Stegostoma tigrinum: one gene and its partner. The protein of the gene in region 1 purifies or fractionates together with the protein of each later gene. This does not show direct contact. Links are inferred from orthologs where the notes say so. Each region holds a gene or a part of one and is shown on either strand. Other genes may lie near its edges.

The links.
Region 2: the proteins of cAMP-dependent protein kinase type II-beta regulatory subunit (region 1) and akap9 purify together in Homo sapiens (affinity purification with mass spectrometry; 3 studies listed by BioGRID and IntAct, counting the BioPlex papers as one, with this or other methods). This does not show direct contact. The link is inferred for Stegostoma tigrinum from reciprocal best matches to the Homo sapiens genes PRKAR2B and AKAP9.

What each region holds. Positions count from the first base shown.
Region 1 is NC_081378.1:35,347,411-35,353,996, forward strand, and holds the start of cAMP-dependent protein kinase type II-beta regulatory subunit, read right to left. Parts: upstream 3,733-6,586; 5' UTR 3,555-3,732; intron 1-3,554. UniProt on the Homo sapiens protein: Regulatory subunit of the cAMP-dependent protein kinases involved in cAMP signaling in cells. Type II regulatory chains mediate membrane association by binding to anchoring proteins, including the MAP2 kinase.
Region 2 is NC_081355.1:108,966,824-108,973,409, forward strand, and holds the start of akap9 (A-kinase anchor protein 9), read right to left. Parts: upstream 4,184-6,586; 5' UTR 4,104-4,183; coding exon 4,056-4,103; intron 1,038-4,055; coding exon 795-1,037; intron 1-794. UniProt on the Homo sapiens protein: Scaffolding protein that assembles several protein kinases and phosphatases on the centrosome and Golgi apparatus. Required to maintain the integrity of the Golgi apparatus. Required for microtubule nucleation at the cis-side of the Golgi apparatus.

The DNA of each region.
Region 1 (6,586 bases):
AGATTTCACAGAGTCTTCTTCTCTCAGACTTCTGTCTCTTCCTGGTGTGGCCAGCTTTGGTACATTTATTAACTTAAAATATTCCTGCTGCACATTTCAACAGCTCTGAGGTGAAGGTTTTCTTCTGGAGTGCTGCTTTCAACCTACAGCTGCTCCCGTGAGCGCTGCTGACCATATGTTTTTTTTCCTGGTTCAGCTGCTGACTGACTGACTGTGTGAGCTAAATGGCAACATCCTCAAAGTGGAAAATCCACTTGTCTTCAAAAAAAGCTGCAAACAGATTCTATCTGTCCACCATTATTCACTTTGTTGTATTGGGATCTTGGTACCAACCATGGGTGGCTTATTGTTCAGACAGTTCTTTGGCACCAATGTTCCTACTTTTAACTTAAAACAATTAACCAAACTAAAATTTGGGGAATTTACAGCTCCTGAAGTCCACTGTGTCAAGGGTCAAACTTACAAAGGTAACTTACAAAATTTGAATTAAATTTTAGTTTGAGGGTGATGATGTTGTAACCCCACCCCAGCAATGCCCACCAGTCATAGAAGTCCTGAAGCACAGCAGAGGACACTGTGTGGTGCCTCTCATCTTAGCATTAATGTAACTGTGAAGGAGAAGCAGGCAACCCATCTACAACCCGCTGCCCTGACCAGTTAATAGCTGGGATAATAAAATGTGAGGCTGGATGAACACAGCAGGCCCAGTAGCACCTCAGGAGCACAAAAGCTGACGTTTCGGGCCTAGACCCTTCATCAGATGCTCTCTGATGAAGGGTCTAGGCCTGAAACATCAGCTTTTGTGCTCCTGAGATGCTGCTGGGCCTGCTGTGTTCATCCAGCCTCACATTTTATTACCTTGGATTCTCCAGCATCTGCAGTTCCCATTATCACAGTTAATAGCTGGCTTGGCTAACTCAGGAGCATTTTCAGGGGGAGATCCTACAATTTATCTGCCTCTCCCAAACCAGGGTTGCAAAGAACAGGAACGTAGGGCCATTGTGAAAACAAAAACTCGGAAGCAGTTCCTTAGAAAACAGGAAGGTGTCTAGAATCTATTGCAATCTAAATATATATGGCCCACAGATTCCTCAAGGTCTCAAACATCACAAGTAGCCTGCAAATGCATAAACCCACTTAATCTATGAATAGGTGGGACTGCAGTCCTCTTTTCAAGATATTTTCCCATTCAACTAGTTCAAGGATGTTGTCATACATCACTGGAACTTAAATTTAGGCCTTTTGGCTCACAGATATGTGTACTATCACTGCATCACAAGAGCCGTATCCTTGTTGCTATGCTCAGTCTAAGGGCCGAACTAATTAACAGAGGTGCAGATAGAGCAGAAGAGATACTTAACATGAAGAGACACTTGTGTTGCTCAACAAGGTGTTGTTTATTGCACAATAACAAAAGGTACAATTATCATGAACTAATTTGGGATAATTAAAGTGATCATGAGTCAGGTGCCTGCCTCCATTAGGAGCTTATGCAAAATTGTCCTGAGCAGTCTTGAGTCCTACCACAGTGGAGGGAGTGAGCTTGAATTGAATAAAAATCTGGAATTAAAAGTCTAATAATGAACATGAAACCATTGCTGGACAAAACCCAACTTGTTCACGAATGTTCCTTTACGGAAGGAAACTGCTGTACTTACCTGGTATGGTCCACATATGACTCCAGGCCATCAACAATGTGGTAGACTTCCAGTTGCTCTCTCTGAGCAATTAAGGATGGGTAATAAGTAATAACCTAGCCAGAAACACCCTCATCCCGTGAATAAATATAAATAACATGTCGGATTGTGTTGATTAAAAATATCTAGACATATTTATTTATTATTTTAACCAAACACTTAAACACATCCAATTTCCTGCCAATATCCAACTGTATGTAGAATTAATTCATTCCTGTCCTGACCTATTTCATCTTCTGGTCCTTAAAGCCTCAAATTGAAGATTTGTGTTGTGCATCTGTGGACTGAGAAAAACGGAGTCAGAATTTCAGTTCTTTGACCTTGTAGCAGAATGGAGTCACTGACTCGATAAGTTACCTTTATTTTTTTCTCTCCATAGATGACTGTGAAGTGGCTTGGGACATTTTCAATTTAAAAGCATTATTCATTGAAGCAATTATTATGATTTTAACTAGTTTCAAGTAGAGTGGACTGAATTAGTGATCCCACTACCTAAATTAAAAGAAGCAAAATTCTATATTCTCACTTTTGATCTTACCAAATATGTAGACCTAAATGTGGCCCTTTGATTCTGCCCACTGAAGACTCCCACTGAAACCAAAAACTTGGAAGCAGCTCTTTAAAAAAAACAGAAAGGGTTCTATAATCGACTACAATCTAAATATATACGGCCCACGGATTCCTCCAAGTCACAAAACTTACTTGGACTGCAAATCCACAAATCTACTTAATCTTAATTAACAAATACAATGAAAAATATATGCTTTCCTAATGTTGGTATAAATGATTCCATGGGACTGCAGTCCTCTTTTCGAGACATTTTCCCAATCATCTTGTTCAAGGATGTTGTTACACATTGCTGGAACTTAAATTTGGGACTCCTGGTTCAGAGATATGTGTACTATCACTGCACCACAAGAGCCCTATCCTTGTTGCTGTGCTTTGTCTAAGGGCCAGACAAGTTAACAGACATGTGAGACAGAGCAGAAGAGATCCTAAACATGAAGAGACACTTGTGTTGCATAACAAAGGGTAGTTTAGCTGCACAATGGCTCAAGTCTTCTTTGCAGAGGTATTTGTCCCGATGTTAAATTTGTGATGACGTTATAAAAGTTCTGAGACTCATGCTGACTGCTTGAGTTTCCTTGACTTGTAGGCCTCACACTCATGCCCCAAAAACAAAAATCAGGATGCATTCTTTTTCTGTTCATTGGATATTTTATCCAAAATTCAGATTCCTAGACACAGGACATGAGTGTAAAAGTTATAGGCTTTGTCAAAGTATATTGTGTCTTGCCTATTTACCATTACTTCCTTATATGCCCTTCAGTTAAGCTTACCTAGCATTCAATGAACAAAATCAATCAGAAATGTATGCTTTCCTAATGTTGGTATAATTGAACAATTCTGAAACATAGCACTATCGAAATCCTGTATTAAACAGCCTAGAAACAACTTGTGAATATTTTGTTCGGATCTTCACAATTTATGTCCATTTAAATTTTGCATATAACATTGAGTTAAATGGAATAAGTGTTTAAAAATAGCTTTGAGCCCTTACTCCAAGTAAGATTTCTGTTCCAATAACATATATAAACCCAACCAGAGTGCCCCACATACTTTCTTCCACAGTCCCCCTTCCCCAGGGGGAACTCATTAAGGATCTGCTTGAAATACAGAAGGACATTTGCTACAGTCTCTCATTTGTTCAATGTTTTCAGGGTATCATATCCCTAACCCCCTTAGAGACCCCCTTTCTGAGGCCTCGCACATACCATTGTTTGGTTCACTACAAAGAAAGATAGCAATTAAGACAGTTTCATACACTTTGTCAGTATTAACACAGAACCTACTCACCCCATTCAGGAAACATTCCAATGGCATGAGACTTATTTTAGCACTAAGATGTGATGTCCTGAAAAGTTACTTGGCATTTACCAAGGAATAGAATAAATATAAAACCCAGTAAACTTGACACATAGAATTCTTCAGAAATCATGTACGACATCTGTCATGTAATTACTGTGATTGCAGTATAACTTGCACTGCCATTGTTGACATTTCAGGATGATTAGCACGGCATTCTGGTGCTCATTAGAATAATAACAAAATACAACAGATGATATACCAAATTCAGGCACTAGAATTTTCCATGCAGTTGGTTGGCACACACACAGCTCAATTGTCCTTCCCACACACTGGAATAAATCATACTTTCCAATCAGCAGCTGCATGACTTCAGCTCGTTGAAACTTTAAAGTATCCAATCAGGATCCAACAGCGAGAACTATAATTTAGCATTTGACAAACAGGAAATGACCCTTTCGATTCCCATATTGCATCATGTTGATGGGAATCCAGATGTGTTAATTGGAAAATTGCAATCTTATGGCTCAAAAAAGTACCAGTCATCTTGCTTTCTCTAATCCATCTCCCTCTGCACTGTTAGTGCTTAGTTCTCTCAGTTACAATCCTTAAACTAATCCCAAATCTTCTGATGTAAAATGTCTTTGTTATATGATACAAGGATATTTTCTTAGGATGTAACTAAATATTTGCATCCTCTTTCAAAAACCCTTCAGGTATAGACCTATTGTTCAACTTAAACCCATTATTTCACCGATTGTTACAAATTTATATCTTCTTCAGATCTTTGCCTCCCACTCTTACACCACACACACGCATACAATTGCATTTCCACTGCGACTCTATGTTATTACTGCCTTCAAGATACCAATAAAAGGATTATCCCTTGCCTCTGATCTTCAACAATGACACAGTTTCTCTTCGAGATCCATCATCTACCATTTTTAACCATCAGTCTCTGTCCCTAAAAGATCCTGCTTGGATATTTGTGCATGACGACATCATCAGGAAAGTCTTTTCATCTCCCTCTATCTTCCAGAGGGACCACTCCCTTTTGACAAACCCACTCTTCAACAACCCAAACTTATAACGATAGGATTGTAATGAGGTAAACCAGGTGGACCTCACAAAATATGAATTTCCTGATTTGGGCTGTTAACCTGGTTCAATCAGGGACCAGTGGCTGGAAGATAAAAGCAGGAGTATCAGACATCCTGCTCACTCTGAGAGCAGGCTCTAAGGGAGCTAGAATACGTGTGAATAAAGAGTGGCTTGGTGACAGATACCAACCTCTGTGGAGTTATTTCAGTGGTGATGAGAGTGGGATTAAATCTGTGACCATGCAAAAGCGCCTATTAGCTGAAGCCCAGCTTGACATCAAATAGGCACTGCAATGGGCTTTGTCATTGAAAATGCGGCAAATGGAGCATGTGAGTTGCAGGATATTCCAATGGAAGTGGACACCCTCACTGGTCCACCTGAGCTTGGGGAACACCATCTGGGTGAAGGCAATTACTTAGGGCATATCCTGAATAGTGGGACTCTAGGTCAGCAGGCAGCAAAACCCTAAAACAAAGCCAAGCCTTGGCTAGAGGATTAAAATTTTCTTCAGGATTCAGACCAGCAAGTCATTGTAGTTGCTGCTGGTATGCAGACTTGAGACAGCAAAAGACTCCATTAGACCTAAATCAAGTCAGATAACTCATAGGCCAGTATTCAGGAGAGTGCATACCCTGAAAAGTCCATTGACATCTGATTTGGAACAGTTAAACTGCTTAGCAAAATCCAAATCAGAAGCAATCAAAATAAGCATCTGGTTAAATGGTCACCTGGTTTTAATGGAAGTCGATACCAGCAAGGTCATTTCATTGATCACAGAACCAGTCCTTAATAAAATTCACTCCGGACTCTAAACCTTAAGTTTGTGCAATACCTTGACTATACTGAGAGCCTATACCAGGGAATCTTTACAGATTAAAATACAACTTCAGTTCCGGTCTCTTATGAAAAGCAGCTGGTTCAGTTAACACTGATCATAGTAAAAGGCTCAGGCCCAAGCTTCTTGGGTGAAACTGATTGAGAAAGACTCACCTAGATTTATTCAATATTTTTTGAGTAGAAAATGGTGAAGTCCTTCCTTAGTGAAGTCCTAATTAAATGCCTGGAAGTTTTTCAGGAAGGTCTAGGGACTGTCAAAGGAGTCAAGGCCAACTTGCATGTTGACCAGGAAGCAATTCCATGATTCTGCAAGGCATGCACAGTGTCATTCACCTTACAATTAGTACCCATAAGGACTCGTACCAATATAAAATGCTGCCACCTGGGGATTTGTCAGCCTCTGTAATTTTTCCGTAGATGATGTAAAATATTTTACAATGTCTTCCTCAGGTCACCATTTATCTCAGTGATGTGCTAATGACGGGGAAGACCAGTAAGGAGCATTTAGCGAGCTTGGACATAATCCTTAGACATTTCTAATATGCAGGCACATGATTTACAAGGGAAAAAAATTGTGTTCCAGGGGCCCCAAGAGACTTGAGTGCTACAAGTTGACAAGACAGATTACACCTGTTGGAAGATAAAGTGAGGGCAATCACAGGTGCCCTGGCTCCTATGTCTTTACCAGAGCTTAGGTATTTCCCTGGACTAGCAAATAATTATGGAAGATTCATACATAGCCTGGCCTCCATCCTGGCGCCTTTGCATCAACTCTTGAAAAAGGGTCAGCCTTGGAAATGGTTGTGTAGCCAAGCCATATCTTTCAGGCAAGTGAAGAAACAGCTCTCATCCTTCAGGTGTTGGCCCACTATGATGCCAAGCAAGATCTGGTTTTGACATGTGATTCCTCCCTGTACGGTATTGGGGTGCTATTAGTTCATAGGTGGCCCAATGGAGAGGAATGCCCAATAGCATATGCATCCAGGACTTTTGCTAATGCAGAAACGGGGAGATGGTGGCCTTGTGGCATTATCACCTGACAATAAATCCAGCAACCCAGGTAATGTTCTGGGGTTCCGGGTTTG
Region 2 (6,586 bases), on another chromosome or scaffold:
ATTTGTCCCATCAAGTTCACCCCGCCATTTAAATCATGGCTGATGGGCATTTCAACTCCACTTCCCTGCACTCTCCCTGTATTTGTATAGAACTGAACTGCTTTAATGACTATACATGTACACAAACATATTTTTACGAGCAAAGTAGATCTTTGAAATAAAAACAGACATACAAAATCTAGGCTAACATGTTGAACTGGTGTATTGTGATCATATCTCATCTTTGCAAGGATGTTTTGGGTTAGGTCACTTTTTCTGAATACCAAGAAATCGGTGCTAATGGCAAGTTGTATTTCCCGCAACCAATGTAACAAAATTCTAACACAGATAGTAGGAACTGCAGATGCTGCAGAATCTGAGATAACAAGGTGTAGAGATGAATGAACACAGCAGGCCAAGCAGCATCAGAGGAGCAGGGAAGCTGACGCTTCGGGCCTAGACCGGTCTTCAGAAAAATTTTTCTTTCTGACGAAGGGACTAGGCCTGAAACGTCAGCCTCCCTGCTCCTCTGATGCTGCTTGGCCTGCTGTGTTCATCCAGCTCTACACCTTGTTATAACAAAATTCTACTCTTCCAATCAGAAACATATGAATTTGGTACTTAATGAAACACCCTCTACCCACAGCACATAATGTATGAACTTAGCAGAACTGGGAAAATATTAGGCTTTTGTTCTCTTACTGTAAAACTATAAAAAAACACCACACAAATCCTACATGGTATATAAGCACACGATAAATGAATTTGTCACATCTTATTAAATTGAAGAAAAACAAAGCACAAATAATTCTCACCTCAAACATATAGGTCTGGTCCTGTTTGATTACATCTCCACTGTGTAAAATCCTATTAATTATGAACTCTCCATCTCCTAGTGGACCACTCTCTGCCCTAGTTTTAGCATCCTGTTGCTGATGTTTAGGTGTGACGTACTCCACCTGCTCCTCCGGTTTGTTTACTACTTTTTTCTTTCTCTTTTGTTTTTTTCCCGGATTATGAAGGTTGACCTGGGCTTTCCGTTGTCGAAATTGGGCAAGCTGAAAATAGAAAATTTGATCATGACTTTTCAGATTATCAGAATCTTTAGAGATACAAGATCTTACATTTTTCTTCACATAAACAGAAACTAAAACATTATAGTAAATAATGACAATTAATCCTATACATATTCCCTCATGCCTAGAATACAAATTGTTTAATATAGTCTCGTTTGGAAAAGATGTTGCAAACAATTCTGTATTACAGATTATGTTATATTTCATTTCCAATAGTAATGATTTTGTTGCTTGCATCATCTTTCTGCACAATGCTTCGAGCATACAACGCTAAGGGGTAATTTGACCAAGGAATTTTAAGATATTGAAAGGAAATAATATGGTTAATGGAGAGAAACATGTCCCTTCCAGTAGGTGACATTAAGCAAAGAATAATCCAGTCAGTTCAGGTGCTGTTTTATCCCCATACCCCTGCAATTTCCTTCAAATATCAAATTAATTTCCGTCTGACATCATGGGTCTTGGAAACAGTTTGGAATTCCAATTAATTGAGTAGATGCTAGCTCAATTAAATATGTTAAATCAGAGATAGATACATGCTGGACATTAATAGAAAAGGAGTCTGAGTCAAAGCACGTGCAGTGAAGGTACAGATTAGCCATGAATAGTAGAACCGGAATTCAAGGCATAATGGTCCTATTCCTGTTCCTACATTCCCATAATCTAAACCAGTACGAACCAAGTGATTCAGTCAACTAAGTTGGGACTATAGCAAGAATTCATTCCCTGAACAAACTTTACACATCTTTTTCAAAGCCTTTCCAATGTGAGAAGAAAAACAAAACTGAAGCAACAATAATAGTATTATGACAGATTCAGAATGACTTCCAATCCAGGATAATGCTGAGAGGAACATCTGGGAATATATTTTCTATGTAATATAAATATATATTTCAAAACTTGGTGCAAGTAGTAAACATAAGATAAAGATATAAAAGCAAAATACTAAAGATTTTGGAAATCAGAAATGAAAACAGAAAAACTTGGAGTAGGTCTGGCAGCATCTGCAGAGGCAGAAAAAGACTTAACATGTCAAGTCTGTTCTGACTCTTCTAGAGTACGTATTCTTTGAGTAAAAAGCTTAATTAATGTGCAAAACCATTACATAACAACATTTGGGAACTGCTGATTCTGATCATTTTTCACAAATCAGTTCAAAAGTATTATGTCAGACTTGAAATGTTAACTCTGAATCAGCTTCTCTTTCACCAGTCAGACATGATTCCAAAGATACTGACCATGTAGATTAAGATTTGGTGATTAGGATTTTTTCTAGACATTGTCCAATTTTGTACAGTTTACCTTATCCATTTTGCAGGTGGTGTGTTGAACTTTAATACTTCATCAAGAGGATGCAACAAGCTAAAATCGATATGGAAACATGGAAATGCACACTTCAAAAAGTTTGTGTTCACTTTGGTAAACAAAACTCAAAGTTGCCCTCCATGTCATGAAATATACTCATTTTCGTAACTATCATAACTTTCTTAAATATCCCATTGGCTGAGGGAAAGAATTCTACTTTGCTAATATGCTAAGACTTTAAAGATTTGCTTCAGTCTTTGACTAAGCAACAGCTTAATGAGTAAAACATTACTTCACAACACAACATTTGGCAACTGCCGATTCTAATCAGCCTCAGGATATCATTGCAGAAGTTTCTCACATTAGCATCCGAGGTCTAACAAAGCCGTATCAATTACTTTCACTCAATCATGAACAGTGAAATTTGTGGGACCGCTTTCATCACACAGACTGCTCTAGTTTAATAAGGCCCACAACAACCTTGTCAACAGCAGCTACAACTTGATAATGACAGGCATATCACAGAAACAAATAAAGAAACTGTTTTCATACTTTATCCACATGCTATATCAATATGGATTAATTTAATTCATTTTATATTCTGTTTTCCCCAACTTCTACTGCAGCTATGTCAAACTTCAAGGTTGTCTTTCCCACCTGTTCATTCGTCACTCAGCAAGATTACAACTATCACTGGAAACAAATACACAAGTGCATTGAATTATGTGAGAATGCAATAAGATGCTATATATATGCACGAGGCTATTCTTGTAGACAAAGACGCTACTGAAATTATCACATTTAATCATTCTGTAACCATATGAAAATCTAAGTTTCTCTGTGATGCAAAACATTTACAGTACATCAATAAAAATGGGAGATTATGCCTATTGAATTTTAGCACACACAGAAATAAAGCTGTCACTACTCACACAGTTCATAAACAATCTTGTAATTTCTTGGGCAAAACAGATGATAATAATCAGACAATCTGGTGGCAGTTCAAATACTCCAGCATACCTTTATTAAAGTACCAATCCTGTTGATGGGATTACTAAACACTACTAAATTATAAATCTGGAAAAAATGTAACAATTACATACTTTAGAAGTTGTTGTTAAACTTCTGCAATTTTGTTACATTAAAGTGACTTTCACTCCAGCCTTCTTAAGATGTATTATCTTAAATGTACTTCAAGACGTTAGAAAGTATGTAATGTATTGGGCTGTCATTGCGAATAGCTGCTACATCCAATCCAACACGGTTAACAGAAACAAACCGTTTTCGCTGAAAGCAAAATCTTTAAACAACTTTCATTAACACACTTAATTTCTGTTCAATTTATAATGTACAATCTTTCCTTTGACACGTCCTTGCAAATAGCTTTGTATCGATTCTGATTAACTCGTTTAATTCAATTCACAACAAAGCCCTGGATCCTGCTCTAGGCCCTTCTGGCACCTCAAGTAAACAATAAAAAGCACGATTACCAAAGGCCTACAATCCCCTACAGTTGGCTAAAGCCTGCGGATCCAATTAGAAAGCACAGAGATATTAAAGCTCATCCCTCTGCACCTGGAGACGGGGCCATGGACTAGTGCCTTCCAGACAGAAAACAGCCGACCAGCGCCGGCCTCCGTCCCTCCCTTATCCCGACTCCAGTATTCACCGCCGCAGCAAGTGAGGGACTCTTACCTTGGCTTTGCCGGCCTCCAATTTCTTCTGTCTCTCCTCGTCTTCCATGGCTGTGTGAGAGGGAGGGAGTGGAGCTCAGTCAGTGACACGTTAGCAGCGCCGGCCGACACCACGGCCCGCGGCAACGACACCACTGCGCATGACAGACTCACAGGACAGCAATCCCTCGCACGGGAGGAGGCGGCTGACGCCAGGTCAGAAAGGATGGGGAGAGGAGGAGAAGATGGTGAAAGGGAGGGAAGGAGGAGTTGGAGATGGATGGGGAGGAAATAGATACAGCTGTGAATGTTCTAGAAAAAGATGGGGGAGAAAGTAAGTAGGACTCAAAAAATAAATGTTCCACATGTAACTAAAAAGCCAGCCATACATTAAGTTCAACCAGGTAGAGCAGGATGGTGCTAGATCTGAAGTGTTGGGGCCACCATTCAATGAAATGATGTTATCAGTATGTCCATATGAAGAATAATGGTGTAGAGACATTGTACATCTATTGTGAAAAGGAAACAGTTAGGGTTAGAAAGCAGGAAATTGTCAAAAGTGGCAAAGGACACCGGCAGTGTTACAGATGCGGTGGATGAGCCTTGACAAAGTGAAACAATAAAATTAGAGATAGAAAGAATTCAGTTGGACGGGGCAAGTAATACCAGGATGATTATATTAAATTTCTTTACACTTATTACATCAACTCAAACAACAATACTAAGCACAAAGCTAGTTCACTGATTGTACATTAAAGAATAGTACAAGACTCCTCAACAGTATGTGGCCTCTAGAGTTGTAGAAATCCCAGATGTGATCTGTACCAATTTCAACTGGACACCCACATTAAACTTTATCAAAGCTGAATTATAACAAATTTTGATGGCTTTTTGATTAAAGCCTTACAAATCTTTCCAAAACTCCATTATTACATAAAATTATGAATGTCTAATTCTCATGGAATAGCATAAGTGTTTAGACTAGTCAGACTGGAAATCTACCGTTTAGAAACATCAGTTGTCTGGAAGTTCTTTGAGCAGAGCCATTCATGTGTCAGTTTAGTACAATATATTGAGAGCAGAAAAAATGAAGATGTGTTGGGGTTAGTAAATTCTTTTCATTACTTTGAACATACAACAATGTGAACAAGGAACAAGAGTAGGTTCACTTGGCCCTTTGAATTTGCTCTGCCATTTCAAGATGATCATGGCTGACCTGATTTTAACCTCAACTTGTCATTGGGGTCGATTAGCTCAGTTGGCTGGATGGTTGGATTGTAATGCAGTGTGACATCAATGGTGTGGATTCACTTTCTGCACCAGCTCAGGTAACCACAAAGGACTCTCCTCCTTAACAAGGACTCTCCTCCTTAACCTCTCCCCTTACCTGAGGCATAGTGACCTTCAGGTTAAACCACAATCAATCTTGTCACTTTAGAGAGGAACCCAATGATCTGGCAAGACAATGGTAATTTGATTACTAAAAGGATGAAGGATTATCAGAAATGTAAAGACAGAATCTATTTATCTCTGCCTTAAAAATAAAGATTCTGCATGCATCGCCTTTTGAGGAAGGGAATTCCAAAATATTCAAATCTCCCAGAGACAAAATATGTTTCTTCATCTCTATGTTAAATGTGTGACCCCTTATTTTTAAACTCTGATTCCTAGTCCTAGATTCTCCCACAAGAGGAAATATTCTTTTGACATTCATCTGGTCAAGTCTCGTCAGGATCTTAAATATTTCAATCAAGTATTTCAATTGACTTTTCTAAACTCCAGCGATTATAAGCATGCACTGTTAGCCCTTCCTAATAAGGCAATCTTCTCATTCTGGGTTTACTACTTTAAAGTGTTTTATGTTTAAGGTAGCTAATGTACATCCACAGTGGTTTCTGTTTCATGTACATGATTAGGCCAGAATGTCATTCGATAATGCAGAAAAGTCAGAAATCCAGAAATGATTTGGTTCTAAGCATTCTGGACTGCAGGGTCACAATTGACTTACACATAAAAGAATCTCAATAATTATTAAATTCATTAAAACAGGCGGACAAGACTTTTATTTCGTCAACAGTCTCATGACAGTAGTGGACTGTAAGGAACCACAGCCAGAAAGAGGAGAGTTTTCAATTTTTAGAATTGTGTTTCCATAAACTAACCTTAAAATTTGTATTGAAGTTGTTAGCTTTCTGCGACAGAAATGTTTGTAATGTTCAGGACATCATGGATGAATATAAAATGAACTGAACTTTAAATGTATCCCATTGGAATAATCTGAATGGAAAAAGTATCAAAAGATGACCAGACACTTTCCTTCAAAAGGGAAATAAGCAAAAAGACAGGAATGCACTTTCACTTCAAACTGATCCAGATAACAGTTGTTACACTCTTAAGAAACCAGCCATGACATCCAGAACAAAGATGTTGCTAGATCAGAATTTTTTTATTTCCTCTGCCAAGGAGGGTCATAATATTCTGCAGTTCTCAGTCATGTTCCCTACTTGCCCACCCTTGACCTGGTTGCAATTTTATGGGAGGCAGATGAGGCCT